Linked DNA regions of Neurospora crassa OR74A. The protein of the gene in region 2 purifies or fractionates together with the protein of the main gene of each other region. This does not show direct contact. Links are inferred from orthologs where the notes say so. Each region holds a gene or a part of one and is shown on either strand. Other genes may lie near its edges. The genes, in order: cox-4, qcr7 and cyt-26.

Region 1 (10,298 bases), on a different chromosome or scaffold from region 2:
TTGACGCTTAGCTGATTTGTGGAATCACTGGGAAGAGGACCACGAACATCAAACCAAAATCCTCCACGTGCTAGTGCAGCCGCCCTCGTGGAGAGGTAGCACAGCACACCGGTTCGTGACCCTTCTCACCATAGTGCTGAGCTGAATCTCCTTCAAAGTAACCATACTACGTCTTGGACGTTTCAAGCCTTATCTATCCTAAACCCACTGCAAGTCTGATGGAACTAGATCATGGAATCAAGTTCCGGTCATCTATCATGACAATGTACTAGTGTACCTCGAAACTGCAGGGTCCTGATGGTACCTGGTCAGCCTTTCCTCTCTTTTCTGCCAGTCAACATGTAAGCGCATCTACACACATATCCATTGAAGATCCTCATACCTCGGAGCGCTGCCGATGCATTTGGCGGTCTAGGGCTGATGCTGTTCCCGTGTCTTTAACGGTTCATCGTCAGGGCGAGAAAGACTTTTCGTTTGTTGACTTTAACATGGTGTCGAGCGGCTCTATTTTCCCATCAACAGGAGTGACCTCTTCAGGTATATAACCACTCACCTGCTCCCCTCCGTCCGTCGTCATGCGTTCCACAGGCATTCAATAGGTCCTCGGTATAAAAAGGCCTCGGGAGCCTCCTGTTCTATTTTTGGGCTCCCGCCAGACCATTTTCCATCTTGCACCAAGTCGTTTCACAATGTCAAACCTTTCCGAGAGACAGTCCAAGTTGGACAAACACCGGGACACCATCTATCGCTTATACATCACGGAAAACAAAAGCCTATCACAAGTTATTGACATTATGAAACGCGACCATAACTTGCTGGCTTCGTACGTTACATTTCCTTTCCAAGTCAGGCCTTTTTATGTCAGGCCGATAGCTAACATGTGATGGCCACACAGGGACAAAAAATACAAGCGTTACTTCAAGATCTGGGGATTCGAGAAAAACTACAAGACCAGCGAAATGATATCCATGCTCAAGATGCAACAAAAGCGGCTCAGGGACGGAAAGAAAACGATATTCTGCAACGAGAATGGGCAGAAGATACCCAATAGCAAGTTCACGCGGTTTAAGAACCGTCACACAATCAGGGAGTTCGCGGATGAAGAGTTACAAGACGGTACGGTGGTACTTCCTATCTTCCGTTTGGGGCCATCGCTTATGCTTGGTAGTCGAAATCCCGAGAGGTATCACCTACAGAACACCCGAGCCAGATGACACCAAAATCCGGTTGAAGAATCGTCCCAGCACCAGTAGAACTGGCGAAAGAACAGGCATGGGGATGGAGGAACCTCAAGTCATTGCCCAATTATCTCAGTCGGACCGCAGGGACAACATACGGCGAGAGGATTATCAACTACCCGCAAGACCAGGCTCGCCATTGTCTTTGTCCTATCCGAACCGGAGCCAGTATCGGGATACCGGTTTTACCCCAACTAATGCCTCTCCTGCGCCTTCGGCGTACTCCTTGAACACTACAATAGGTGCTCCCACTGCTCCAATGGCGGCCTACGCGTCGAGGCATCATGGCCAGATTGAGACACACTTCTCCCCATACTCGACGGCCATCAGCGACCCAGGTGAATATCAGTTATCTGCAAGTTTAAGACAGAGCTCAGTGTCATCTATGCCGCCCCTTGACTTGAGCGACAACCGGGCTGGGCTCTTTACCAGTACCGTTCCTTCTCCCGCTCTTTCTGCATACATGTTAAACGCTACTCTTGGCTGTCAAATTTCACCAGTGGCAGCATACACGACAACTGAGCAGCGTTCAGCGTATGCGCTGGATTCCCTAACACAATTTTCAGGTGCCCACACCGCGGGTTCTGTTCACTTAACCGCCGACGCAAGGCCAGGATCGTCGTCATTTAATAACTATCAAGGGAATCATGTTGGGCCTTCCCGTGGTACTATTAACTCTCTCGCAACCTCAGCTTCATCACTAAATAACACCTGCGACCTTGGTGCTTCATCCGCTTATCCCTTTAACAACACAGTTACTGCCCCTGTTCCACTCTCCTCTCCAAGGAATGGCCAAGGGCAGTCTTCAACCAATGATCCCATCTCGCCGGGTCTACAGCTCATTGATTCCGGTCCCTCTCCAGCATGCGGTCAGAGTGAGGTACTCTTCGGTTCCGGACTCGACAACTATACTGGTAATTATGGCAGATATGATAGTATACAAACAAGCAATACGAACAACACATACTCTCCTGTGTTGCAGCCATATCTTGATGGGATCGAGGAGTATCCGTACTGCAATACAAACAGTTACTACATGGCCGGATATCAGGGCGGAAATGGCGTGGATGAAAGTTTGGGGTTTGGATCTCAGTCCCATTGAGGAAAGATGGTTCTGGTGATGGTGAGGATAAGGCGATGAGTGGGCACAGAGCAAAAAAGAAAAAAAAGAAAAAGGGGATAGAATGATGCATTGAACTGAGTTCTTTGACTTCTCCACCCTTGAAGATTTCGGCATCGTTAGAGTAGGGGCTTACGCTGTCCCGTCTGTCGAGGAAGAAAGCTTCCTGGCCTGGACAATGCAGCATATGAACGGGGCAAGCCATGAAGCAGCCGGGGCATATCATTCCAAGCTATTCCTTAGACATACTTATAGATAAATCTATGGAACCTCGCCAGAGTTTGTTTGCCCATTACATATGCGCCGTTTCATGACCGAGATTGTTTCATCGCCGTACATGTTGGAGTGAAGAGGTTCAGCAACATGAGGTTGATCTGGAGAAAGGTTTAGGGCATGGAGGACACAGAAGGCAGCAAAGGATATATCTGAGATTAATTCGATAGGGACGGGAAATTGATCTGGTATAAAAGACAGGCTTTCTTTTGGTTGGAATCTATTCTTGATTGGTCCCCTCATGAGTGTGTTGAAGTTCATATTGGCGATGTGACGTTGTAAGCTTCCCCGGAGGTTGCACTACATACAGTAACGGCTGAGATGGCCCCGCATTTTCAAGGCCATTGGCCTAAGCTTCTATGTAGTGGTTGAGCGGGTCCATTCCCACCATTGGACCAAACCAGACCAGACCATCGAGGTCCCGTCTCCAGGATAATTCATTCCAGTCGCAGGCTCCCTGTGACCATCGACAATCCAAAATAATTTCCCTCCATTCAAACTACTATCCGATTTTTGGTATCATACCAAGGTATTGATCTCCTCGATCTGGTTTTGTGCGACGCTAGCCTAGTACCGCACTCAGCTACTAAGAACCGGAACCCATCGACCGCTTCTACTACTGAACTACAGTGTAGCGCGCGCCCACTTCCATCCATCCATCGAACAGTACCTATCGCAACGCGACAACCACCTGGCGCATCCACGCGCAAACATCCATCCATCTCCTCGAAGAAGCCACAACGATTTACTTAGCTTTACGAGAAGGCCATCGAGTTGCTCCCTACCCGAGCAGACAGACCATCATCACCAAACCCTACCTTACCTGGCCTGTACCTGGGTACCTACCTACCTACTCAAGCATCCAACCAACCACCCACCAACCCATTCAACAACACCTACATACGCTCCTCAACGCAACATGTCTGCTGGTCCCGGCAGTGGCTCCGGAGGCGGCTCCGCAGGAGGAGGGAAATTCAACCCCAAAAACCTCCACTACGACCGCTCCGCTACCCTCCCTCCCTTTCTCGCTCGGTTGCATGCTCAACATGCCCCCGGGAACTTTGACGGTCCCGATCCGATCCTGGCTGCGCGGAGACGACCGACGAAGAAAGCGAGGAGTGGAAGTGAGGAGGCGGAGGACGCGCCGCTTGTTTTGGACGAACAGGGGAATGTGGTTGATGGAGTGTCTGTGGGGAAGGATGGGAGGGTGATGGAGTCTGGTTCGAAGGTGGAGGGTGAGGGGACCACAGAGGGGGAGGGACAGGGACAAGAGGGGGAAGAGGGGGAGGGGGGAAAAGATGGGAAAGAGGGGGAGGGGGGAAAAGATGGGAAAGATGGGGAGGGAAAACAAGAAGGGAGAGAAGGGGAAGGGGGGGACAGAAACAAACATGGGGAGGGGAGTAAAGAAGGGAATAACAAGATGGCAAAGGAGGAGAAAGGAGTGGGAATAGGAGCGAGTAAGAAGAAGAGAAAGGTAGGGAAGGTCATTGCTGGCGATGATGACTCTGATCAAGAGCAAGATGGGGATGCTAAGGAGCCAAAGGCAAAGGCTGAGGGTACAGATGCCAAAGACCAAAGCGGAAAAACGGAACAGGCAGGGGAGAAACCAAAGCCCAAGACGGCCATGAAGAAGGCTAAGAAAATCAAGCTTAGCTTTGGTGATGGTGATGAGGAGGGTTGAGATGCCGTCGTTATCGGGCTTGGGCGCTGGAAGTACATAAACACCGACGGGAGAAAAAAAAGGGGGGCATGCCGAGAGGAAGGTGTGTGTTCAAGGCTAACAACCACGTCGGCCGGCGCATGTCCCAATAGCAAGTGGAAGGGCGCAAGATGCGCGACCTGGTGACAAGCTTGCGGATGACGAGGGATGCAAAGTCCGAGTTTGTCTATGCCGTTATGCCTGGAGTACTACCCAAGAGCTGTCCGGAGAAAAGCAATAGGGAGCTGTGCCAGAACGTCGTTCCCGATCCTGCGGTGCTCTGACTCAGTGCCAGGCAGAAGAAGCTATCTTGGATGGTCTCGAGTCTTGTTGCTCGGTACCGCAGAGAAGGTCGAGTCTAGATGATTCTGCGAATGCACTCTGAGCAAACAGCCCTAGTAGCAATCCTGAATCTAGATACTGTCACGCCAATCCAACCTCTTTCGAGCTTCTCGATGGTATATACAATTCCATGTTCAGTATTTATTTGGCCCCAGGGTTCTAGGTAGAAATCTACAGCTCTAGGTTCCCGAATGCAAGTCCAATGAGGTAACAACCACCTACCCAGCCTCATCATCACCCCCGTGTTCTCCAGGTTCGCATTCACAGTGCTTGCCTCCCAGTAAACTTGTGTCATATGCATGCATCGTATTTGTCAATGTCTTCTTCTATTAACAACCCACTACACAAAAACCTCAAACCTCCCTTTGCAAACCCCACAACTGGGTAATTTACCAGTACTCGGGCTTGACGTAGTCGGCAAAGGTCTTGGGCTCCTCGAAGCCGTGGTGGTCGTGGCCGTGGTCGTGGGCGTGGTCGTCCTGGGGACCGACGTAGTCCATCTTGTAGACGTTGCCGCACTCGGGGCAGCGCTCGACGGGGCGCTCGCGGGTCATCTATTTTTTGGTTAGAATACTCAATTTGAGCGGTAGAAGAAACAGAGAAGAGAAAAAACTCACGGTGAGCCAGATGACGTTGTGGGAGTCGGCAGGGAAGCCAGTGCAACCGGCGTACTGCTCATCACCGGCGGAGCGGACGGAGATGGGGTTCTCCATGGTGCCTATTTTTCAACTGTCAACCCCCCAGCTCCTCTCAACCCAGGTTATTACAGCAAGTCTTACCCCTGCGGGAGGCATCAAGGGGCTTCATGTCGAAAACGTCGACGCCCTCCATCTTGCCGAGAATTTCGAGACGCTCGAGACCGGTGGCCTGCTCGAGATCGGTGGGGACAGTGCCGGGGGCGGCACCGGGGCCGAAGAGGTCATCCTTGGTCTTGATCTCTGTTTGTCGCGAAAGGTATATATGTCAGTCATGTATGTTTTTTCGTCGTATGCGGTTTCGTCCGTCACCCCGCATCGTCATGGAGCGAGTGGAGGCTATAGGGAAGCTGGGCTGAACTGAGCTACCCGGCCGGTGGAAGCTGTGGTAGATAGGGGAGCCTCAAGCTTGAGCTGGTCGAGGAGCTTCTTCTCCGGTTCGTCCGCGCAATGATAATAACCCCCTCCTTTTTGTGGTCGTCCAATGCTTTCCTCCTCCTTCTTCTTGTTGTTTCATCAAGCTCCCCCAAGCTTGACTAAGCTCAGCTCGAGCTTCGAAAGACCCACCACAGCTTCCAGTTCGCGTAGCCCAGTTCTCCAGCAACCCCAATAGACACAATGGTGACGCAATCGCCGGCGGGGGGAGATCATCATACCGGAGAGACGCTTGATGTGGGGGACAGGCTTGGTCTCGGCGTTGCCTGGAATCAAGATAAAAACATGGTGTCAGTTTTGCGATCGGGATTCGGGGGTTTGTGATTGATGCGCGTTTGGTTGTCGCGAATTGGTTCGAGGTGGTGGTGGGGTCATGATGTCGTCGTCGTTGGTGGTGGTGGTGGTGATGATGCTTATGCGCGGATATTTGCAGCTTCGCGATTGGAGCTTTTTTGGATGCCGTGCTTTTTTTCAGGCCGCAGCCGCTAAAAACCAAGAGACGTTTCCAATGTTCACTTACAGCGCACAACGGTGGTGGCGATGCTGCGACGGAGAGCGGGGGCAGCGGTGGCCCGGCGGGCGACGGCGACGGCGGTGCGGGACAGGAGCATGTTGGCGACGGCGGCGGGTGGGTGGTGGTGGATGGTGTGATGTCGGAGTGACAGAATTGACCGGGAGAGAGCGGAGAGGCGGGAGATGATGTTTTGTCGCTGTCTGTCCGAATCCGAAGCTGGTTTGCCCACACTGCCGTGGGTCCCACAGCTGAGCTGGGCACCACTGCAGTGGACAGAGGCCCCGACCGTGCTGCCCTTCCCTTCTGCCGCTGGCAACTGGCGAACGGGCGGTTGTTTGGTACGAATGGAGGCGCTTGGACCACATTCTGGAAAGCTTCCCCAGCTGGTTGCCAGAAGCAGCTAGCGCACGGTCAGGTGATGCAGCACGTGGGACCGCTCATATCATCAGTACTGTACCATGAAGTGAAGCGACAATTGCGTGATGAATACATGGCAAGAGACTGTGTGAAGCAATCCTAGGTTTCAATTGACTTGGGTACGGCATAGATTATATAATGATTGAGCTAACTGGGAGCAGAAGGAAGAAGGTCTTGATGAAGCTATTGCAGGTTTGACTGGCGTGACCCTAACCCTCCAAGCCCCAATCAAACATCGACAATGCTCCACCCCGTCAAACGGAACTCGGGCTTTCCAGCTTCAAACTACCGGGCCCAATCCGGCTTCCGTGTCCGATAGTGGATCCCCGGATCGGCGCCCTGTGCAAGTTGGAGCGGCACCATTCCGGAAGTGTGCAAGTTATCTTATCCAACTAACTCACGAACGAGAACACAACACAACAAACGATCCACAGCTTCTTCACCACAGCCGGTAACCGCCACCGGTCCTTTGTCAACTCCCTCCCCTCTCACCTCCACCCGCTCCTTGAGAAGGAGGAGCAGAAAGGAAAGTGGTATCTGAAGTTGTAGGGGCTGGGTGGTTGTGGAAGAGGTGGAGGCATGCATGGCAGTGAAATTTCGCATATGAGAGTCGGGTTCGGAGTTTGGGACGCCTGGGAGCTTACACAACACTCGTATTTTACCTTGTTCAACATGGAGGCTCAAGACATGGAAACACACAGGACGTCTTGTTAAGCACATGACCACGCCCTACAGCTACGTACTCCTCTCTCTGCCTCCTACCCACTAAGTAAGATTCTTACCTACATGATACCACCTCCTAGTGGCGGAAAATTCCCACCTCCCGAACACCACCATCCCCAAACCCCAGAGTCCTGTCCCATGGTTCTCGCCCTGTTGAGGCACAGACGATGCACCCCGTTTTTTGTTTCCCATTTTGGAAGTTGGGCAACTGGGGTATGCGGGGAGCCCGTCATGCAGTTACTGTCGTTTGCTTCAGTTGAGCGGTTTTCAGGGTCTTGGATGTCACTCACGTGGTCGATACTAAAACCGGCGATGGTGCTGGATGGCTTGCATACCCCTGACTGGATGAGGATGAGGTGGGTGTCGAGAAACATGCGATATGGAATGGTGAGACAGGGGCTTAAGTCTTGGAATATTCCACGAACCATACCTACCTCTGTTCTAGCCACCCGACCATAGGATCGGGCTCCTGCTTTGTCTTTAGGCATACATTCTGAATGGTACCCAATAAACCAAGGCTGATCAGTCCGGGGTAATCTGAGTAGATCTCCTCGGGCGGAGTTGGTTCCGCGGCTGGGGCGCAAATGGCTCGGGGTCTTCACCCTGTCCGAGGACTCGCTTTTAAACGGCTTTTCGTTTTGAGGATTATGTCAATGGCAAGACTGCCTCTCGGTACTTGGCTCATTGTCAGTGTCTCGGGGTCACCTTGCCCGTTAAAGCATTCATCATGATGAAGAACCGACGATGCACTGGAAAATGAGTTGATTCAACAGGCCGCCGATTTCCTTGCTTATGAAAGGAGCAATGGCTGACACAAACCGATGGCCAATCATCCCAAATTGTAGCGTCTACTGGACGGAATAGTCTCGTGTAACCGAGTGTTTGAAGGGGAGAGGGCGACATCTTCGAAATGGGTGCATGGCGCTGGAGATCATCCCCGGACTTTTCAGGCGACAGGGTTACTGCAAGAGGGAGGAATCAGACTCCAAAAGGCTGAGCAATCTCTGCAGCTGAGGTCCTCACTGACTGGAAATGGTCAGTCACATTGGAACCCGAACACCAATGAGAGTCATGAACGATGGCCATCCTACCAATTTGGGCACCGAGGGAAGGAGCAATCAGCCAATGTTGCGAGGCCCCGTGATCAAGGTTTGGGTCGATGATACTCCCTCATCTTCATCTATCCGAAGAAGGTGCAAACCCAGGAGAGGGTTCATGTCGTACTTGGAACTTTTGGTAGTACACTGCAATGTGTTGTATAGGGCGACATGATGAACGACCTTCAAACAACCTCAGGAGGGCAATAATGAGTCTTGGCACTTGGCAGATGGGTAGGACACAAGTTCGTCAAGGACCTACTGGTAGAAACCATCACCAGAACTGGAGAGGTGAAACCCCAGACAGCCAAAAGCGTAAAGCCGAGACGAAGAAAGGCTGTCGGACCTCGAAAGACAACCAAGTAAGTACCTGATGTCAGGTCTCTCTTCTGGTTTGGACAGGAAGGTACCTACATTTTACCCCAGACTCTTGGGTGGCATCGACCGCAACTCTTCCAGCATGTAACATTGTCTAGAACCCGTGGCACCTGCCTGCCTGCCTGCCTGCCTGCATCACACTTTTGCTGACTGTACAAGCCCAAGTCACTTGCGTGTTGCTTGGTTGCCCTTGCCCTCCTGACTGACCAACGGCGACAACCGACAGCAACCACAGCCAGTCAGTCAGTCGCCCAAACAACCAAACTCCCTCTCTCAAATTTTTCCTCTCCCCGGCTAGGTGTCGACTCAGCCCGTCCCGTCGTCCCCTTTCCGACAGCCTTTATACGCACCAATCAGACGCCATTCGGTACTGTCCGCGTAGACTACTGCGCAGAAAAGACTTTCCCGACACCACTCAATCTCTTCTTGTTTCCGTGTCGGCTCTAGCCCGTCATTCCTTTGCGTGCTTCTAACCATTCAGCTTGCAAACTGAACCACACCCAAAAGCTGCATAGCTTCCTGCACCCCGGCTCTTCCCACAGCTTTTTTCCATCGTGCCGGTGCCCATGTCGTGCTACCATCTCGTTCGTGTCTCTTCCAATTGCTCGGAAGGTAGTAGCTAGGGCTGTTGGTCTGTTAATTAGTCTAATTGCTAGCTTCACCGCCATAGGGATTAACAATTGATGCGACCAAGATGCTCCATGGAGGTTGGTCTTCATAACCATCAATTCCTGATTCAGGCTTCGTGGAATCTGGTCTTTCCATCCTGCTGGGTCAGCTCATGTCCCCCTCCCCTTCCTACGCTGTCTCACCTGATCGCCTCATTCGAGTGCTACCCCTCTCTCACCAAGGGGAAGAAAGTTTAACCTTGTTACCATTTGTCTGTTTCGTCCTGCTGGCCAGCCTGCTATGGTAGAGCTACACAACAAACATACGAAGCTTTCCCATCACCTGAGCCCTCGGGTGATCCAATCATCTTTTGGACTCAACCATTTTTTGGGCGACTTGCGACTTGCAAGGTTTTCGACAAATCAAATGAACCTTTGAGCTTTTCTTCTTCCCTTCCCCCCTTCTCAATTTTTTAAAGACGCCACTTGCGCATTTCTTACCTACCCTGTACCCTACCGAACATACACTACTGCGACTGAACATTGGACAGAAATCGGAACTTGTGTCATGGTACCTACCTTGAATCGTTCCAGCCCTGCCAGCTTTTGTTTTCGCCTCAACAAGGGACCGTATACATACCTACCTAGTCAACCCCATCGGACCTTTCCGAAAACTGGCATACAAACACACACATACACCATCACCACCACCACCACCACCACCATCATATCATCTTTTACAAGCTTTTCATTGTTTCA
Region 2 (9,747 bases):
ATATTATAGTTCGACTTGGTGTATGAAAGCCATACGTCCCAAGTAAAGTGTGATGGACTCGAGATGAATTAAGGAAAGAGGATGAAATGACTTACAGCATTAAGCTTCGCAGCCTGAATAGAATGCCTGGTATAGGCGAACAGGACCCAAGCCATTGTGAAAGCAGCCAGGGGCGCCATGACTGTCTGTCGTTGATTGATTGATTAATTGTGTAAGTGAGTGACTCGGAGTGCGAGCGAGTGTCTCGAGCGAGGTCGTCCGTCAGACATTGATTGGGTGGGTGAGGGCCGGGGACGAGCCAAACCTTTGGGTTGATGTTTCTTGATGTCTTCATTGTGACTTTTTGTCTGTAAATCAAGAACTGCGTAGGCAGGAACTGCAAGTCTTGAAGTTGGTGAGGCTGACTTGACGACTTTGAATTTTACGTGTTGTTGTAGATTGGGGATGGGATCAGAGATGGTGGTCTTGGTTGAATCGTTCGACGTCCGTTTCACTGCAACCATAGATATCGTACTATACTGTGTAAGACGGTTTACCGCCATGTAAGTGGACCGAGCGTCTTTCCCCCCTTTGATGGTTGGGAACCGATTAACGGGAACCTCCTTTTACGCGCTTAATATGATGAAGTAGAAGCATTATTTGGTAGCAAATTCATACAGAAGCCATTTCTCAAGTCTTGAACATGCCAGTGGTAAGTTGTGTGGGCAAGATCGTGGTCTAAACGCCGACATGACTCAATAGCCCGATGAAAACCCCAGACAGAAAGCCGCTTGATCAGGAAGCAGACATTTCAGCTGAAGCATGTTCAACATAAGACTATATATGCTCGCTATACCGGTATGCCAAATGTATACATGTATGAAGAATCCCGAGTACCTGTACCGCCCTTCCGGGGTATCGCAATGTGATCCTATCTTGCCCCCCTGCCCAGTCCCGTATCGCTTTTCCACTTTGCACGCGCTCCGTCGCTGTGTATGTGTGCGTCTGTGTCTGTATGTTCGCTCCACGCCATATATAAGCTACGTATATGAATATCCAACTTTCGAATCCTTGACCCACTCCAAACATGTGAACATCCCTCGATTCCATTGCACGTCTCTAGCTGCTGGTGCTGCTGGAGATCTCAGGCCTCTCGACGCTCTCAGCCTTCACAGCCGTAGCCTCGGCAACCTTGGCCAGCTTCTCCCTTCCATGCTTCCTCGCCTGCTTCAGGTTGTTCATCACGTACTCGTACGTGAGCATGGTGACAGTCGCCGCGGGGACGGCTCTCATCATGTTGGTTCCCATACCAGCGTAAAACGCCCTCCACCCTTCCTCCTTGAGCATGATCTTGAAGGTGCTCACCACGCCTCTGTACTTGGGCCCTGATGTTGCCAGCTGCTTTGACTCGGCGCCGTTCTTGGCAACCACTCCCAGACCCTGCAAGTGCTCCTGTCCCGGAATCGGCCTGCGCTGTGTCTGCAGTCTCGTCCTGATGACCTCGTGGGGATACGTCGCACTGCTGGCGATAATCTTGGAGAGGACGGAGGCGGCAAAAGTGCCCATAAAGCTTGGCTTGGCGTTCTGGTCGCCGGCGGCGCCGCCCATGCCTTGTCCAGTAAACTTGGTCTTGAGGAACTCGTAGGTGGGAAATTGGACGGCCACATGGGAGAGACCCAGAAGAGCAGGTGTCAATCCGGAGTAAAAGGAGAGAAGGCCCTCGGTGGTGTACATCTTGCGTGCGGCATCGAACGTGGACTTGTAGTGCCAATGGGAGTGCATCGAGGGGCGCGCGTCTTGAAATGCCGACTGCGACATGAGTCGGGTCTTGATGACCCATATCGGGTTCGTCGCAATGGTGCTACTAGCGCCGGCTATGATGGATGCGCCAAAGTTGATGGCAATTGGCTTGTCTGTCACATCTATGTTAGCCTTGAACGTCCCGTTCCGTACCAACACCAAAAGGAAGACATACCCGTGTATTGGCGTAGCCATATTTTGCTTTTGTTGTAGACTGTGAACCAGACAGCCCAGGTGGGCAAGTAGCCCATTATTATAGGACCCAAGCCCCTATACATGCCGCGAATGCCCTCATGCCTCCATATTACCTTGGCCGTGCCTACCAGGCCATTGTACATCCTGGGCTGGCCCACATGCTGTCCCGCGCCCTGCGCTTGCAACTTGGTCTTGATAACGTCCAGCGGGCAGGTGACCACGCCGGACATGAAGCCTCCCACTGCGCCGGCGAGCGCATTGAACTGCGAGTCCGAAGCATTCATTGCCCATCTTTCCAGGCCCGTTATCCGGTTGGGGTCCTCTTGCATTGGGTCGGCCGAGGCTGAGTCTATTATCTCCTCTGTTATGTCTTGCCCTGCTGCTGCTGTCTCCTCCAGCTCTTCGGTCACCGAGTTGGCGGGCGCAAAAGTGGCGGGTGGCCGGGCGCCTGGCAAGGAGCGCACGCCATATTCTGCTGCCGAACTCGCGGGATCTGGTCCAGAGTGGGAGATGTGGTGTTGGGTGTCTATAGTAGACATGCCGCTACCCTTCTCTCGACTCGAGTCGGAACTGGGACTGGGCAATCGAGACGCGGGGATCGAGACGAGATGGTGCGTCTTTGTTCGAGGGGTCTCTGCTGGTCGCAACTCAGAGACCCCGGAGTAATCGGTGACCCGTGATGCCGCCGTAGTGTCGGAAAGAGGGTGGTGATCTCGGCTTGTTGGAGCTTTGGAGTCTTGAGAGGGTGGTGTTGATCAGGAAGCTGACGTTCCCGGCTTGAACGGCGTACTAGCGCGGGTGCGGGGAAGAAAGAGGTTCGCTTGGGGGGGACTGAGTCGAAGACCGAGGTGTTGATAACAGGAGTTCACCAAATATCACCGTTCGTCCGTGAGGCTCGGGGCAGCCGGGTTTTTGCGTAGGAGAGAAAGAGGCCCTGGCGCGGATCGTATTTTGGGAACTTGTTGGATTTTTCGCAATTGGTGAGCGAGCACACGAGCAGGCTCGCTACCGTACCTGTCTTTGGTAGAGGAGCTAGTATGCAGGTGAGTGGAATGAAGGAAAGGATGGGCGAATGTGGGGGAAGTCCCGTTTTCCAAAGACAGGGTTTCTTGGCAAAGAGATGGACGATAGTACAAAGTGCAGTGGAAAGAAGCTACACGACTCTTTTCGACCAAGAGGTACAACAGGAACCTTTTTGTGTGCGAATGCCAGACGGAGGCCGAGGACGGATGGTGATGTTGGTGTGTAGATAGGTTGGTTCTTGTTAAGGAAACTACGTAGTTATCTACAGAAACGAACAGCCAACGCCAATGACGGCGGGACGCGGATGCCAATTATGGTTACCAATTATGTCACCTTACTGCAGTGATTGTCCATACCTACCTACCTGCCCGTGACTCCCGTAGGCAGTGAGTGGATGAACAGCAATTCCGGATGCGCTGGGAGCTGCCTCGAATTTCCTTCCCCTCCGAGTCATGAAGACACCAGAAGCAAGTGTTGGTCTAGGGGCCAGAAAGTAGGTGTCCAGATAATCATGTGTTTGTCCAGGTCTCTCAAGTCTCGGGAGTTTTAGACTTCAGACCAAAGACCCCCAGTATGGCCCGTTTTTAACCTTCCCCCAGACAAGAGATGATAGCTATCAGTCGAGATTCCGTTTCACTGCAGCGAAACAGCGCCAGCGGTCACCACCGTCGCCCGCCAAAAAAGCGGCTGCCCTGGTCGTCGTCTCCAATTCTAGACCCACCGCGGCCCATAACATCGACCTCATCTCTGCCTTGGCATTTGGACCGACAGCTCCATGGTAACCCAAACCCTTGCCAAGAAAACAAATTCCCTATTCTCGTAGAGCCTGAGCTTTGAGGCATCAGCCACTTGGACACGGCTTTTCCCGGAGCGACGGGAGACGGGAGACAGTCTAAGAAAAACGCACGGAGCACCCGGAGCTTCTTTCTGAGTGTTCTAGTTGGACAGTGCGCTTCTACTACTGGCTGAAATGGCTGGCTGACTTTCGCGGGTTTGCTGATTTGCGGGTCGCGGCAATTTGTTAGCTCTCTCCGCCCTCCATCTTGAATCTTGACCTTGGTGTTTCCCAAGTGCGTAGAGACCAGACGACAAGAGAGTGTAGACTCCTCACCACCTCGCCTACCTATCACCGACTATCAACCGCCACCCCGGTCGACAATCATCCATCAATCACCATGTCTGCCCCTTCTCTCGTCCAGGCCGTCGCTAAGCGTGGCTGGTTGAACAAGATGCTCAAGCCCGTCTCCAACTGGTACATCAATGCCGCCGGCTACCGTCAGATGGGTCTCCGGTGAGTTTTTGTTGTTTCTTTTATATACCTCGATGGCCAGCAGTCCGGCCCGGGACCCTTGTGACGTAGGCTCTACCTGTATCGAAACCATCGCCCTTCTATGTGTTACGTCTATCCATCTGTCTCTCCTCGGCCCGGTTCTACCTCAATGGCTCGCGCCCCAGCCGCAGTTCCCTCCCTCCCTTCCACATCCCCGAGCAGGAGGACCAACACCCACCCACCCACCCACCTACCTATCTAACTACCTACCACTCACTATACCATATACAACCGACCAACAACCCATAAACTAACCCACCCTTCCTCCCCAAAAACAGCGCCGACGACCTCATCTCCGAGGAGAACGAGACCGTCCTCGCCGCCCTCCAGCGCCTTAGCCCCAAGGAGTCGTACGACCGCATCTACCGCATCCGCCGCGCCACCCAGCTCTCCCTCACCCACAAGCTCCTGCCCAAGAACGAGTGGACCACCCAGGAGGAGGACGTCCCCTACCTCCGCCCCCTGATCGACCAGATCGAGGCCGAGGCCGCCGAGAAGGACGCTCTCGACACCCTGGCTGTCGTCAAGAACTAAGCGCGGGACTTATAAAGGTATGAAAGGGGAAGGAAGGAAGGATGGGAAAGGATGGGAGGGAAGGTTTTTCCGTTATCCGCGCGCGGTGGGAACTGGACTGGCCGACTTTTTTTTTCGACGGGAACGAAGGAACCGAAGAGAAGGGAAAGGCTGGAGTACTGCTACGCTACGCTTAGGATTTGGAAGCCGAGGATACCAAAGCAATAAAGTGGATGCGCTCAAAATAAGAACCGAAACAAAAACTCGTCCCCTCGATTCTCTGGAACCTGGAACTCTTCGACAACTTGCTGCCAATTGCTTTCTGGAGAAATAGGATGAAGGGGGGGAAAAGGTGGATGGGGGAAGATGGACAGTTTGCGATGCAACGACAATGGGCAACAGCCAAATGTTCTTGTCTATGGTTGTGTTCACGCTCCCAGAACCCGCGCATCTCTATGAAGTGGAAGTGGAAGGGGAAAATGCTTTGAGAGGAGATGGTGACGACTGCGAAAGAAAAGACTACCTAACCATTTCTACTTATTAGAAGGAAAGAAAATGGGCAATAGACCTTTATCCTGCATTCTTCCCCCCCCCCCAAAACAACAAGACAACTGAAAGAGAGAAAGAAAAGAAAGGGGAGGGAAGGAAGTGTCTCAGACATGGTAGCCATCGAAATCGACCTCTGCTATGCTGTACGTTGAAGAAGTGTATGTGAGAGTCATGACAAGTTAGATCAAAAAGTAATAAGAAAAAAAAAAAAAAACTCCGCTCAATTCGCAAATACTCTCATTGTCTCTGTGTCCCAAAGAGCCTAGAACTAAGTAGTAGCAGAGGTACGCAACCATGGGAAGAAGTGAGACAATAACCTACGGGAGTGATGGCGGCCATACTGTAGCTGCCTGTCATATCAGATGGCTGCCTACTTTTTAGAGAGCCCTTGTCCAAAGATACCGCCGAAGAAACATTCCTCTTCTCCGAGACTAGGAAATTTATGGCCCAAACCTGCTCTATTTCAGGTGGCTGACGAGGACCCGAGTTTGTGCCGCTCACAACCTTGGTGGCAGTTAGCACCACTCAAAAGTTGTGATCTTGTTCATCGTGTGTACTCAGAAAAAAAAAAAAAAAAAAAAAAAAAAAAAAAAAAAAAAAAAAAAAAAAGGAGTATCACACATGTTTGGGATCAGGCAGCGTTGAAGACTCCAGTATTTTTTTCTTTCGTTTCTGGACGTTGAAGGCACAATTGTGTAAGCCCGCATAATCATGCTGAGGATACACACAGACTTCTTTCTTCTCTCGGTTCCAATGGGCATCATACCAAAATGGCGGCGGGCATATTGTGTTGCGAAAACTGAAAGTGACAACTTAGTTCTCCTTTCGGTGGGTGATATGTGTGATATCTGATGTGTACCAGTCCACCCGACAACAGAGCAGACAGTGTACATACTCTCATTACTACGTTAACTAAAGCTGACCACGTCGAAGCTGAAAAAGAGAAAAAAGAGTAAGCTATCCTACAACAGAAGAAAGAAAAATAGAAAGAAAGAAAACACTACCCGCACACCTAGAGGTAAACAAAACCCCCCTTTTTCTATCATGAAGCAATGACTGTCTGCCTGTAAACAAAAAGGTACACAGAGAAGTTGTGTAAACAGGAAAACAAGTATAGTATATTATGTCTTAACTTCATTCTCTTCTTTCTCTCTCCGTTTTTTTCCCGTTCGGGGAAACCCAAACCGCCAGCCAACTAACTGTCCAACCAAACCGGGGCAACCAAGAACTCGCTGAGAAGAGGGGGAAAAAAAGACGTCCGCTATAAGCTGGCTGTCCTCTCCTCTTATCTCTTCGGGGCACACCTTTCTAAAGCAAAGCTCGAGCCTTCAACACAACTTTTTGCTTTATCCATTCATGATGTATACACATGTCCTTCTCTCATCGCTTTTTGAGCCGATAACTCATCATCCTCGTCCTCCTCTTTACATACGTTAACCAAAATGTTTTATTGACTGATTTTGTTATGACCCTTCCTGTATACGTTACTTCGTCTGTTGTGTGCGTTTCCGCTCATTAAGGTGTGGTAGCTGTTACCGGCTATCGGACGTTGACGTCAACCTGGGGTTGCCGCGTTCGAGCGAGGCGGGGACGGCGGGCGGGCTTTGTGGGAGGGGGCTGTCGGTTGGAGAGCCGGATGGAGTAGTGTGACTGGAAGTTATTTGTAAAACGAAGAGAAAAATATCCGAGCCGTCCCGCCGTAAACCCCATAACGCCGGTTTGTCACCACGCTGATGGCGAAGAATTCGATGAATCTTGGTATGTGTGTGTCGTGGGCTTTCGTACAGTATGTAAAGATCGTGTTTCCCCTTCGCCGCCGCGCGATTTTTATCGGGTGTGTGCAGACAGGATGTTGATGCAAAGCGAATCCAGTTACAGACTCTTTATGCGTTACCACCCTTCTCCTCGGTGTCGATGTGCCAGACAACGTAGTTGGGAAGACCGATGACCTGGTAGCCGGCGCGCTTGGCCATCTTGGCGAAACCCTCGGTCTCGGCTTGGTTCTCGAAAGCGTAGCAGGGGAAGTTGATACCTATGGTTGTTAGCCGGATTTGTCCTCTCTCGAGCGCAGAAAGATGTTGACCTACCAGAACGGTGAACATCGGCCTTGACAAGAATGTTCACGCCACCAATACCGTCAAGCTCGATCTCGACGTCCTTGTCGTCGCGCCAGTCGCCCATTCTAGCCATGTAAGTGCGGCCGGTGTCGTACTCCTTGTAGCCTGTGAACAACTATGTTAGTCGGTGTCAACCCCCAGGGCCCTGTGGTATCTGCACACCTTCAGCGAGAACAACATCCTTGTCAAGGCTAGAAGCAAGTCTGCGACCCTTGTCGGACTCGACCCAAGAGTTGTAGTCGACTGTGAAGCGGTTAGCAATTTGAGAACTAAATCAAGCAACGGTCCAAAACTCACATCTACCCTCGATATCGCGGCCGTTCTGGTAGCGGTGGAACCAAATGTCTATCACATGTTAGCTTTATTGCCCCATGTGGGGACTATTACGGGAAGTTGTTCTTACTGGGAACAAGAATGTCCTTATCGTGGGCAATGAAATCCTCGAGGATCTTCTTGGGGCTGTCAACAATGTCCACGTCCCTCCAGTAAACCCAGGAGTGCTCGGGCTTCAGGGCAGCAGAAAGGAGGTAGTTGCGCGCGCGACCCATGGCCTTGCGACGAGGACCCTGGGCAGCGAACGAGTGGCGCTCCTCAACATTCTGGCTCAGCTTAAAGTCGAAATCCTTCTCGACAACCATGGCGCTGTGGAAGGGGATCTGGTCGGGGCGCTTCTGGATGCGATCCAGCTCGGAAGCCAGGACAGCAAGAGTGTCATCGGTAGAGTCGCTGACGAGGAAGGCAAGATCGATGAGGTGGTGAGGGTAGGTAAGCTCGGCGATCAGCTCGAAGTACTTGGAGAGATACCTGGAGGCATCCTTGAGAGGGGTGAGGATCAGGATGCGCTCCTCGTTGGCGACGGCCTTGGTGGTGGACTTGACGGGGTTGAGGTCGACGTGGCTGATGGTGGACGAGTTAATTTCTAGCGGGGCGTGGTGGTTGAAGATAACAGGAGTATGGAGGTGGGCATTCCAAGCTTGTTGCTCATTGAGCGTCATCTCCATTGGCGGTTTTGAGGGACCCCAACAATAGAAACTGAAAGGCAGACGCAAACATTAGCACACCGATGGCGGAAGTAATGGACAGAACAGCACATGGGATGGCACCAACCTTTGCATCTCGGAGGCGCCTGTGCTGATGCCGCGCCATAGTAATAGCACCACTCCTGTTACGGCAACGAGGAGGAGGAATCGTGTCTTTGTGAGGATAGCCCATAGTGCCCTTGCGGGAGGAAGCTGTGCTCTCGCAGCCTTCCAGCTGACGCCGCCTTTGGGGAGAAGCATTATGAAGAAACGGGGTGGCCCACGGCACCACCCGCTGAACGGTCGAGGAGGATATTAAGTCTAAAAATTGGAGACGGGAGCAGTCTATGTAGCTGCCGGCTAGGTGGACGACGCGATGCGCAGCGGCGGCAATGGTGCGGAGGAAGTGTTGCGACGTGAAGAGCGGCTGAGGTATGCGGTATCGCCGGGTGTAGCAGCAAAGGAACGATTCGCGTGGGAAGTCGTGTGGCGTCGTGGAGAGATTACGGGGTGTCGGTTGGGTGGAAAAGCCCACGTCTCCTGAAGCAGCAGCAGAGCGAAGGCGGTATCTCTGAGAAGAAGGATCCTACAAGCGAATGTAGCAATGGCTCTCTCGTCGGCGTCGTCGTCGTCGTCGTCGCCGTCGTCAAGAAAGTGTACAAGATAGAAGCAAACAAAGTAACACCGACGCGGTTGAGTCCGCGTATTGTGATGTGTGGTCGGGGTCGGAACTCTCAACTCAGGCGAAAGACGCACGGGAACGGAGACGGGACGGATGGAGGCTGAGAAAGAGAGATTCTACTATACACTACAAGGGAGCTCCTGTTCCCAAAGGTCACTGCCCAGCCCGCCAAATGGTTCCAGAATCTCTTGTCCTCTCAGCGAGAAGGGACACCGCCCGCCCATGCCCGCTCACAGGGGGGGTCTATCGTTCACCCCGTCGTCCACATCAACGGGGGGGTCGAGCATACCTCGGTCTAGGACAGCCTATCAGGGAGCCCGGATTTGGGGGGTAAAAGACCCGCTTCATTATGTTGCGTACCACTCTCATCCACTCAGAGCGGTTCTCATGGAAGGGGGGAGAGACTGCCCTGGCTTCCACTTGAGACTGCAGTGGGGAGGAAGGAACACGCAATCCCCCCATTTCCACCATTTTGCTCCATCAACGGTCGCGATCAGCCTGCCGACTGCACATCATGTCCTTGTTATCAAATCAATGGAA
Region 3 (10,214 bases), on a different chromosome or scaffold from region 2:
CGAAGAGGCGTGAAGATTAGATGGGACGGGATGCTGTCGCGACATGGACCACACCATACTGCGGTACACTATCTGGGCGCAGATCGGCGGTTCCTGCGTGTCCTGCGACGGCTCCCGGTGGGAGGTCCAAAGTGGAGAGACTGATTGAAATCTCCAGGGTAGGTGAGCCAAATACAATTGAAAACGTCGAAAGCTAGTAGTGAGTGCATGAGACCGGCACGATCGGTCATCGATCGCCTTACCTAGCACGTGAAAGCAGGTTTTCTGCGTTTTCGTTCCCATTCGTTTTTCCGAATCTGAGGCCTGTCTTCTATCTCTTTTCTTGAACAGTTACACTTTGTTTTTCGCTCAAGACGTCCTTCAAACATCGATCGCAAATTACACTCGCTCTTTACTAATTCTTCGTTTTACCACCACCCATATTCTGTTCGCCATTGCGCCCGCAACCATGACAATGCATCCCTTGCAGCGTGTCGCTTCTCCATCGCGGGGCCTTTCCGCCCTGATACATATGCTGGGCATGGTGTCTTTCATGGCGAGCTTCAGCTACCTGCACTTGTTTCCGCGGGAACTTCATCTGGGATTCGGAGGAGCTTTCAAGTTCCTAACCATTATTGGCCTGGGTTTAGCACTTGCCACGTTTGCAGTTGCCTTGCTTGCGGATCTGATCTTGAGCCCGAGCCTGTTCAGAATCAAGAATGTCCTCTCGGTCTGTTCTGCGCCCTTGGCCGTGCTCATAAGCACCCTTTACTGGGGCATTTGTGCAATTAATAAGAACCTGGTTGTGCCGCCCGATATGGCCATTCCCGTTCTCCCAGATGTGTACGAAAAACTTACTGTAGCCTATCTGCTGTATGTCTGACTGGTGCAAGTGGTGCTGTGGCTAACAAAACCCCAACAGAGGATTCCATGCCATGCCGGCTATCATGCTGACGCTGGACTTGATGTTCCTGAGCCCCCCTTGGACGGTCAAGGGATATGGTGCTATGACTATCAGTACGACCATAGCATTTATTTACTGGGGCTGGGTGGAACTCTGCTTTTCTAAGAACGGATGGTAAGAACGACGGACACAAAGCAAAGACCAGGCGGTAAAACCGCACACAATTCCGACACCCTCGAGATTTACCAAAATGTCTAACTGTTTTGTCAGGTATCCGTACCCGATTTTCGATATCCTCAACACCTGGCAACGAGTCTTGCTGTTCACCTTTTCGGCGCTGTTGATGACAGGTAGCACAATGGCTTTGAAGTGGGTTTATGGCAAGATCAACGGCATCGAGAAGTTCAAGAAAGATGCTCTGCGCCCTCTCAAAGACGAGTGATGATCCGGGTATTCAACAGTCTTACCAATGCAAATCTAGAGTTGGCTATTGACCGTTTGCCATCCATCCATCGTCATGTTCCTGACTGTTGTTACAAGTATTGGGTTCTAATTGAACTCCGGTTGCGTTTCGTTTGTCAAGGAAGTCGACATTTTGAGACCTGGGAATTCAATAAGCCAGTCAAGATATAAATGTTGATACCCTGCATTCGTTGTGCACAGTCAGTTATGGGGTTGAGGCACAAACATGTACTTACCTTGCAAGAGCGCGCACCCCGGTGCCCAAGCTCCGAAACCCGGGCCGAGTGGGTCCCCCGCCAAGTGTCGAAGGCCACCTGCATTTGGCTTCGTCACCCGAGCTTGCCCGGGGCATACACTACTATGTAGGTACCTCTATGGTCCATCCTACGGTTGACGATATCACAGGCATAGCTGTGTTCCCTTTACTTCGGAGGCTGAGAACGATCAAGGCCAACCACATGCATGCGAACCGCCGGTTGCTCTTGCATGGAACTTTTTTTGCCGCCCAGAATCCTTCCATATTCCTTCCACAACTGTTCCATGATGACGGACCATCCACTGCATGGGCCCGGCCAATTGTCTCTCTGCAAGAGGATGGAGGATCACCATTTCGTGAGCATAAGCCATTGTAAGGAATATTGTGAACATGGTCTCTCTATGTCACTCGCCCTTGAACGAGAGCTCACCGTTCGGGGGTTTGCCGCTGGTTCACAGAAGAGGAAGCGGTTGGATATGGATTGCTCCGTGTCTGACTCTTGCATCGTCTTTGCCCTGTTGGAGCTACTACACTACTTCCAGTAGTGTACCAATGCCCATGTCTGTGCTTTGATTTATTGCATACGGATACTCGGGTGTCTCTCTTTACCACGTACTCACACCTTGATGCCCTCATCCTCCATTTCTCTCGTCGTTTCTCTTTTCCTTTTTTTTAAAAAAAAATTTAAAAAGGAGACTCTGTTGACGTAGCACACGACTTCCATGACGGAATTACCTCCAGACTTTTTGTGTCGATAGCTTGAACTTTTTTTGGTTCCTCAATCGGCCTTTCTCTTGCTTTGACCCCATCACGGAGCTGGCCCACAATGGATAGGGCGTTCCAAGGTACGGCGACCCTTAGCGCTGCCAACAGTCTTGGGTACCGCTACTTGCGCCCCGCCTCACCAGCACCGCATTTGCATTAGGATCCTCTCCAACCACGAGTATCAGATACCTCTTGAGAGGAGTGTGGTGTCATTGCAGGCTCCTGGTTGCCCCTCCTACAAATTTTAAGGTTCCGTACCCAACATGCACTGGACTGGACGGGAGCTGTCAAGTCCCTTTGCCGCCACCACGGCAGCGCCGAGAAAGGAAAATAAGTTCTTCCCCCACAAACCTGGCTTGTTCCGTCCTTTGACTCATAACGAATATTTGTTTCAAAATCATTTAGTTAAAAGTCGAAGGGTCCTCTTTAGTTCCCGCTCTCATCTACTGTTTTGCACATAGCTTGTTCCACGGCACATAGAAGTCACAAGTCCTCAACATGTCGGTACGTCATGTCCACTTAGACAGAGCCCCACGCCTACCAATGTTGTGTTTAGAGGTTGGATTGACTCACATGTCGAATCTTTAAGCAACATTTCTACATTGAGAACCGCAACGTCGGCAATCAGGCCGAAAGCGAGGATTGGCGCAGTAAGTTTCAATCTCTTTGATTCAGATGTGGAATATCTGCAATTCATTACGCTCGGAGCTCCCTGCTTACTGTTAATCCTTAATCCAGTTCGCGGCTACAACCCGCTGACCCCTCCCGACCTGCTCCAACATGAGATCCCCCAGACCGCTGAATCGAAACAAACCGTCATCAATGGCCGCAAGGAGGTGGTCGCCGTTGTCAATGGCACCGACGAGAAGGAAAGGTTACTAGTAGTCATCGGTCCCTGCTCCATCCACGATCCCAATGCCGCCCTCGAATACTGCGATCTACTACTCAAGGAGAAGGAGAAGCACAAGGATGAGCTGTTGATTGTCATGCGATCCTACCTCGAAAAGCCCCGGACGACCGTTGGCTGGAAGGGCCTGATCAACGACCCCGATATCGACAACAGCTTCCAGATCAACAAGGGCTTGCGCCTGAGCAGACAGTTGTTCGTTGACCTCACCTCCAAGGGCATGCCCCTCGCCAGCGAGATGTTGGATACCATCAGCCCGCAATTCCTTGCCGATCTGTTGAGTGTCGGCGCTGTCGGTGCTCGCACCACCGAAAGCCAGCTCCACCGCGAGTTGGCCAGTGGCCTCAGTTTCCCCGTAGGCTTCAAGAACGGCACTGACGGTACCCTGGGTGTTGCCATTGATGCTATTGGCGCTGTCAGACATCCCCATCACTTTTTGTCCGTCACCAAGCCCGGTGTCGTTGCCATCGTCGGAACTGTTGGCAACGAGGACTGCTTCGTCATCCTCCGTGGCGGTACCAAGGGCACCAACTACGATGCGAAGAGCATCGCTGAGGCCAAGGCTGCGCTGGAGAAGAGCGGCTTGCGCCAGCGCCTGATGATTGACTGCAGCCACGGCAACTCGAATAAGAACCACAAGAACCAGCCCAAGGTCGCTGCCGAAATTGCGCAACAACTTGAGAACGGCGAAACTGGTATCATGGGCGTCATGATTGAGAGCAACATCAACGAGGGCAAGTCTTTTTATTTTGTTTATTTTTTTTATTGGGGGCATATGACCGTCTAAATTTGAAGCTGTTCGCTAACACAACGTACAGGTAACCAGAAGGTGCCCGAGGAAGGCAAGTGCGGCCTCAAGTACGGTGTCAGTATCACTGATGCTTGTATTGGCTGGGAGGACACTGTCGCCACTCTCGACACGCTTGCGCAGGCCGTCAAAAAGAGGAGAGAAGTCCTGAGCAAGAACGCCGCTGCCTAAGTCATGCCAATTCCTGGTCTTGTTTGCTTTATGGTTTATGGGTCATTTGATAGGGGTTCACGAACCCTAAGTGAGGGATGCCGAATATATGCTGGCGCGGGGATGGGAACACAAAAGCTGACATTTCTGCATGTGGTGTGTTTTGATAAAGAGCGTGTATTAATGCATCTTGGGAAATGGCCGTCGAGACAATAGAAGATGGTAAAAGATGGAGCGGGTCTGGATCTCAAAACGAAACAATTACCTTGGATTTCTTTCGATGATAATCTCTAGGATCGTCCATGTTCGACTACAGTTTTGCGTTGCCTTTTTTTTTGGGGATGCAATTGTGGTGATGTGTTGGTGTGAAGCGTGATAGCCGTGGTGACCAAATCTGAGCTTCACCTGCGATTACGGGGCCACGGCATAGGTATGTATGTGTGGTGTATAGCTTCAAACCTGGCTTTCCTTGGCAGCTTTTCCTCGGCTAGGTCCGGTCACGCTGGGTCGCCGTGTGAGCTGAAAAGACAGAAGGGGCGGACCGCGGGCAGCGAGAGCTTGGACATTTATGATTTCCATGGGGCGATGCTGGCTGATGCTGATGCTGATACTGATGCTGATCCTGATCCTGATGCCCAGCTCCCAGCTGTGCCCAGTTGGATTAGTCGCTTGTGAAACTTCCACTTGCAGGTCGGGATTGGGCTCGCTGAGGTGTCTACCTTACTGAGCAAGGTAGTCTCAAAAAGCGCTGAGGCCCGCGGGCAGAATGAGGTAAATTAGTGCGGAAAATCCATCGGCCGGGGCCGAGGGGAAGTGTAAAAGCTCGAAAGGCTGCACGGTGATTGGCCCAGCCAATCAGATGGCGAGTGTTCCTAAGATTCCCGAAATTCAAGAAACCTACGGTCCTACCTACGACGCTACGTGAAGGGAATCGACCGACCTTGCACCTGGACGGACCTGCTCGACCTCCCGCCCGCCAGACCTGATACTGTCACCGACATTGCCAACCCAATTGGCCTTGTCCCCCGAACCCGCGATACTTTCCTAAAGCTTCGCTCAGCTTGCCCACCATGCTGGCGAGGACCTGCCTGCGCTCGACGCGCACCTTTGCCAGCGCGAAAAATGGCGCCTTCAAATTTGCCAAGGTTCGTCTCGATTGCTTCGACAACTCTTTCGTCCTCGTCTCTCTGCCCCTCCAAACAACAGATCTCGGCCGCATCGCCACTCGAATGGCTGGGTCTGGGCCGGCTTGAGCTACCGTCAACCTACTGCGAGCTCCCGGTCCGGGGCCCAGTTGCCCGACCATCCCCGCCCCGGCCGAGCCATCCTGTCTTGTCTCCTTCACACTCTCGCGCTCCTCGAGGAAAGCTAACGGACGTGCCCGGCAGCGTTCGGCTTCCACCCAGAGCTCCGGCGCCGCTGCCGAGTCTCCCCTCCGCCTGAACATTGCTGCCGCCGCTGCCACCGCCGTCGCCGCCGGCTCGATCGCCTGGTACTACCATCTCTATGGATTCGCTTCCGCCATGACTCCGGCTGAGGAAGGGTGAGTCCCCTACGATCGATCCGACCATCCGCCCCGCTCTAGCCGCTGGACCGAGGTCTGCCTCATGGGTTCTGAGGCATATACGACCGAGCTCGACTATAGGCATGAATCTGGGCATGGAGTGACTCGAAGCTTACCGTTGACGCAGTCTCCATGCTACCAAGTACCCCTGGGTCCACGAACAGTGGCTCAAGACCTTTGATCACCAAGCGTAAGCAACCACTCCTATCCAGCCCATTCGAGGCCGCGCCTCCAATCCAAAATGACTATCTGGCTCACGACTTTGTTTTTGCCCGACTGCAGTCTTCGCAGAGGTTTCCAGGTGTACCGTGAGGTCTGCGCCTCGTGCCACTCTCTCAGCAGAGTCCCCTACCGCGCTCTTGTCGGCACCATCTTGACCGTCGATGAGGCCAAGGCTCTTGCCGAAGAGAACGAGTACGACACCGAGCCCAACGACCAGGGCGAGATCGAGAAGCGCCCCGGCAAGCTTTCCGACTACCTCCCCGATCCCTACAAGAACGATGAGGCCGCCCGTTTCGCCAACAACGGTGCCCTTCCTCCCGATCTCAGCTTGATCGTCAAGGCCCGCCACGGTGGCTGCGACTACATCTTCTCCCTCCTTACCGGCTATCCCGATGAGCCTCCCGCTGGCGCTTCCGTTGGCGCCGGCCTTAACTTCAACCCCTACTTCCCCGGTACCGGTATCGCCATGGCCCGTGTCCTCTACGACGGCCTCGTCGACTACGAGGATGGCACCCCCGCCTCCACCTCCCAGATGGCCAAGGATGTTGTTGAGTTCCTCAACTGGGCTGCTGAGCCCGAGATGGACGACCGCAAGCGCATGGGTATGAAGGTTCTGGTTGTCACCTCTGTGCTCTTCGCCTTGAGCGTCTATGTTAAGCGTTACAAGTGGGCTTGGCTCAAGTCGAGGAAGATCGTCTACGATCCCCCCAAGGAGTCCACCACCCGCCACTAATTTAGCATTGCCACAACAAAGGGCAAAGTCATGACATTCACACAATAACCGTTGTGAGACGTGCGTGATTTTCCTTGTCTTTTTCTGTGTATGTATCATATACTATTGCTGCCCAAATTTTGCTCCCCCATGTTCCTCTTGCGCATCGGTCAGAAAGAGCAAAACGAAAAGGAATGGGCAGGGGCGGGATCGGTAACTCTGGGCAATGCGGAGATGTGCGGGCGTGTGGGTTGAACATGAAGATGGTCGTAGAGTGTATAAATCAAATTTTCTGGTCTCAAATACAACATAGACGTTATTGCCTGTGTCTGACAGGGTATGATGGTATGGGTATGACGGTCAAGCTGAACTTGCATGTGAGTGGATCAGGATACGGATATTACGACATGGGCATTTGAACGGATGCCAAAGAGTAAAGGCCATTTCCCTGTCAGCTACATCATCATGTACGCCTTTAACTTCGAGAGTAGTTGAGATATAGTATGAGCTTCGAAAGCCTTGACATTTCTCGATTGGCAATCTCTCTTTCACCGAATCACGGTAAATGTCAGCACGAAGTGCCACAGAGGATGCCCCTGGCTTGGCATTTGATTTGCCTTCCAAACAAAGTCTTGGCCCCCTCCCCTCCCTTTTCGATTCACTCACTGACAAGCAACAACATCTTGACCCCAAACTCATCGTGAAGTTTTCAATCACATTTTGATTCTACGATTGCTGGACACCACATATGTAAATCCAAAACTCTCCATCCACTGACAACCAGCAAAATGTCATCATCAAAACTATCACCACCCCAATCACAGGCCTCTCGCCTCCCATATAACGATGTCATGTCACCAGACCTCGCCAATGACATCCTCAATGACTTCAACGTCGACTTCTCCTCTTCCTCTCAAGACCGAGACTACCTCGCCTCGCTGCTTACCTCGGGTTTCGCCCCACCAGTTGAAGTCCGCAAACTTTGGGAACCGAGTCTCATGCGTGGAATGGAAGAATGGGAAATGATGATGGATTGTGCCCATTCCTTGAGGGATCAAGCTTATCGGGTTCTGCGGCTGGAGCGAGAACAAGATCATGGTCAAAATCGCGTGATGGGTGATCCTGAGCTGTGTTTGTTGCCGTTTCTGGGGATGATCATGGCGGGGAGGAAGGAAGGGTGTTTGTTTGACGGGGATACTTGTGCTGGGAGTCTCTTGGGGAAGAGCACGGAAGGTGGGGGAGGAGAAAACTCATCGGCGCAAGTGGGAAGAGGTGGAGGCAAGAGGGTGAAGAAGACGACGGGTGTGATGGGGAGAGGTGTCTCGCGTTTTTGGGCGCAAGACGACCCGGCGAAAACGAGCAGACAAGTGACGAGGGGTCGGGGGGAGACCGGTGTTTCTGGCGCTGTCAGAAAAGCGATGAACGGCCACGAACCGATTAGTGAGCAAGGAAAGATGGCATTGCCGACTCGGGTGATGTCGGTTGTCCACCGCTCAGCTGGGCCTAGTCAGGGCGAAGGAGAATCGAAAGCGAAGAAATCCAGGTTGACCGATAAAACGAAGCTCAAACACTCGAAGTTTCCAGATGAACCAAGCTACGCCGACACCTGGAGTCCCCAACGTAGCCTTGCTTCACACTCGTCCCCTAACGAAAACCTCGATGTCGCCCTTGGCGATGTATCGGTAGCAGGCACATCGAGTTTTGACGAATGTGTTTTAGCAGCTAACGTGAGGATCACCGGAGAGCGCACTTACAAATCGCCCTTTTTCAGTGAACCACCGCCCTGGCCGATATCAACAAGCAAAGCCTCTCCTCCCAAGAGCAAGACCTCCACATCCAAGAGCAGATCCCCAACCAAGAAGTCCCGAAATCCACACCCACCCGGTATCTCTTGCCTCCCCATTGCTCCCATCTCAGCCTCGAGATTCGGATTAATTCAAGAAGAAGTAGCAGCCGACCCCTTCCGTCTGCTCATAGCCGTGACATTCCTGATTAAAGTCCGAGGTACAATGGCCATCCCTCTATTCCGCCAACTAATGGATCTTTTCCCTACTCCCGAGGCGCTCGCCAGTGCCGATCCCTCTGAGATCATCAATCTCATTCGCCCACTGGGGCTATCCGTCAACCGTTGCTCTGTCATACAGAAATATGCGCGGATGTTCATCGAGTGTCCACCGTGTAAAGAAAAGAGGTACGGAGTGAAGAATTATCCGAGACCTGGGGATGCGAGGGGTGTCAAGGTGGGACAGGAATTTACGGGCGAGCCGGATGACTTCCATATCGGAAAAGCGTCACAGGCAGAATTTGACGATGATGATGACAGGATCAACGCCATCAAATTCGCCAAAGAACATGCCATTGGATGCGCCTGGGAAATCGGCCATCTCACGCAGGGTCCATACGCTCTGGACTCGTGGCGGATATTTTGTCGGGATAAGCTACTCGGTCGGGCGGACGACTGGAAGGGGAAGGGTCGTCATCCGGAGTTTCAGCCGGAATGGATGCGGGTTCTGCCGCAAGATAAGGAGTTGAGAGCGTACTTGCGGTGGATGTGGTACGTGTTTTTGAATGCGTTCTCTTTTGCTCTGATCTTCTTTCCCAGGAAATCATTCATTGCTGACGAAATTTGGACAAACAGGATGCGTGAAGGATGGGAATGGGATCCTATAACCGGGGAGAGAGAGCCCCTCCGTGAGGAGATGCGGAAGGCAGTGGATGAGGGACGGGTTGTCTATGATGAGTGTGGTAGTTGGGTGATCTTTGGATGAAAAGAGCTGAGGGGATAGAAAGATGATGTTCCCTGAAACACTCTGTTTGTTCTGAGTTGCAGTGGTTGGCAAGCATTGGTGGACACAAAGTCCAAGCACGCCGCGAAATAGGTTCCATTCACTGTTGAGCCGGTTGTACCTTCCTCAGAATCACCTCTTGTCTGACGTGGGCCAGATGATGCGCACTTTTTCCAACATCCGGAAAGCACCTGCCCTGTCAGGGTCTGACTGACGATAGTGAAGCGACCCTCTTCCTCGCCTTTGGTTGAGTATAGTAGGTAGGTATCTACTACTCCCGCATCAAAGTTCCACATTTCAAGAGACATGATACGATTTTCGCAGACCACTACCGTTCCCAGAAACATCCAACGGTAACCCCTCATGGCTCGCATCACACACCTCGCCTCCTCGGCCGTTCGCGGCATTACCACCCTCACGTTGCTTACAAGAGGCTTCTTTTATGTCTTTGCGCAAAAGCAACCGAATGGAGGTTATGCCAAAGATTGCATCTTTACGGGCGCAAGTTTACGAGAGGGTCACTGGCTAGGGTGCAACTGTCTGAACGACGACGTTGCCATTTTCGGCTACAACTATACTTGGTGAGTCTTGTGACGTGTCAAAGTCATCAAGGTGCATGTGTGGTGTGTGGTTTTCGAAGATGCTCATAGCTTATTTTACCATAGGCTGGATCTGAACTTTTGCTTGGGAAACAGAAAT

The links.
Region 1: the proteins of qcr7 (region 2) and cox-4 purify together in Saccharomyces cerevisiae (affinity purification with mass spectrometry; 4 studies listed by BioGRID, with this or other methods). This does not show direct contact. The link is inferred for Neurospora crassa OR74A from reciprocal best matches to the Saccharomyces cerevisiae genes QCR7 and COX4.
Region 3: the proteins of qcr7 (region 2) and cyt-26 purify together in Saccharomyces cerevisiae (affinity purification with mass spectrometry; 3 studies listed by BioGRID, with this or other methods). This does not show direct contact. The link is inferred for Neurospora crassa OR74A from reciprocal best matches to the Saccharomyces cerevisiae genes QCR7 and CYT1.

Annotation. Positions count from the first base shown.
Region 1 is NC_026503.1:510,441-520,738, forward strand, and holds cox-4 (cytochrome c oxidase polypeptide IV), read right to left. Parts: upstream 6,618-10,298; 5' UTR 6,414-6,617; coding exon 6,323-6,413; intron 6,069-6,322; coding exon 6,024-6,068; intron 5,611-6,023; coding exon 5,452-5,610; intron 5,391-5,451; coding exon 5,290-5,390; intron 5,227-5,289; coding exon 5,062-5,226; 3' UTR 4,313-5,061; coding exon of another isoform or gene 3,551-4,312; 3' UTR 3,357-3,550; downstream 1-3,356. Other genes in the region: NCU05687 (hypothetical protein), read left to right, coding at 690-823, 896-1,116, 1,169-2,340; NCU05688 (hypothetical protein), read left to right, coding at 3,551-4,312; NCU16615 (hypothetical protein), read left to right, coding at 7,595-7,915. UniProt on the Saccharomyces cerevisiae protein: Component of the cytochrome c oxidase, the last enzyme in the mitochondrial electron transport chain which drives oxidative phosphorylation.
Region 2 is NC_026505.1:5,767,336-5,777,082, reverse strand, and holds qcr7 (ubiquinol-cytochrome c reductase complex protein), read left to right. Parts: upstream 1-3,907; 5' UTR 3,908-4,172; coding exon 4,173-4,288; intron 4,289-4,605; coding exon 4,606-4,861; 3' UTR 4,862-5,629; downstream 5,630-9,747. Other genes in the region: NCU08941 (calcium-binding mitochondrial carrier protein Aralar2), read right to left, coding at 1,099-1,892, 1,955-2,513; NCU08939 (mannan polymerase II complex ANP1 subunit), read right to left, coding at 7,273-7,421, 7,477-7,611, 7,669-7,749, 7,804-7,851, 7,910-8,538, 8,614-8,786. UniProt on the Saccharomyces cerevisiae protein: Component of the ubiquinol-cytochrome c oxidoreductase, a multisubunit transmembrane complex that is part of the mitochondrial electron transport chain which drives oxidative phosphorylation.
Region 3 is NC_026501.1:4,142,416-4,152,629, reverse strand, and holds cyt-26 (cytochrome-26), read left to right. Parts: upstream 1-5,067; 5' UTR 5,068-5,301; coding exon 5,302-5,376; intron 5,377-5,619; coding exon 5,620-5,774; intron 5,775-5,922; coding exon 5,923-5,985; intron 5,986-6,077; coding exon 6,078-6,750; 3' UTR 6,751-7,362; downstream 7,363-10,214. Other genes in the region: NCU09818 (integral membrane protein), read left to right, coding at 449-822, 902-1,057, 1,154-1,325; aro-7 (DAHP synthase), read left to right, coding at 2,865-2,870, 2,956-3,016, 3,105-4,007, 4,092-4,252; mbp3 (methylated-DNA-binding protein3), read left to right, coding at 7,518-9,283, 9,368-9,497; NCU16379 (hypothetical protein), read left to right, coding at 9,879-10,096, 10,181-10,214. UniProt on the Saccharomyces cerevisiae protein: Component of the ubiquinol-cytochrome c oxidoreductase, a multisubunit transmembrane complex that is part of the mitochondrial electron transport chain which drives oxidative phosphorylation.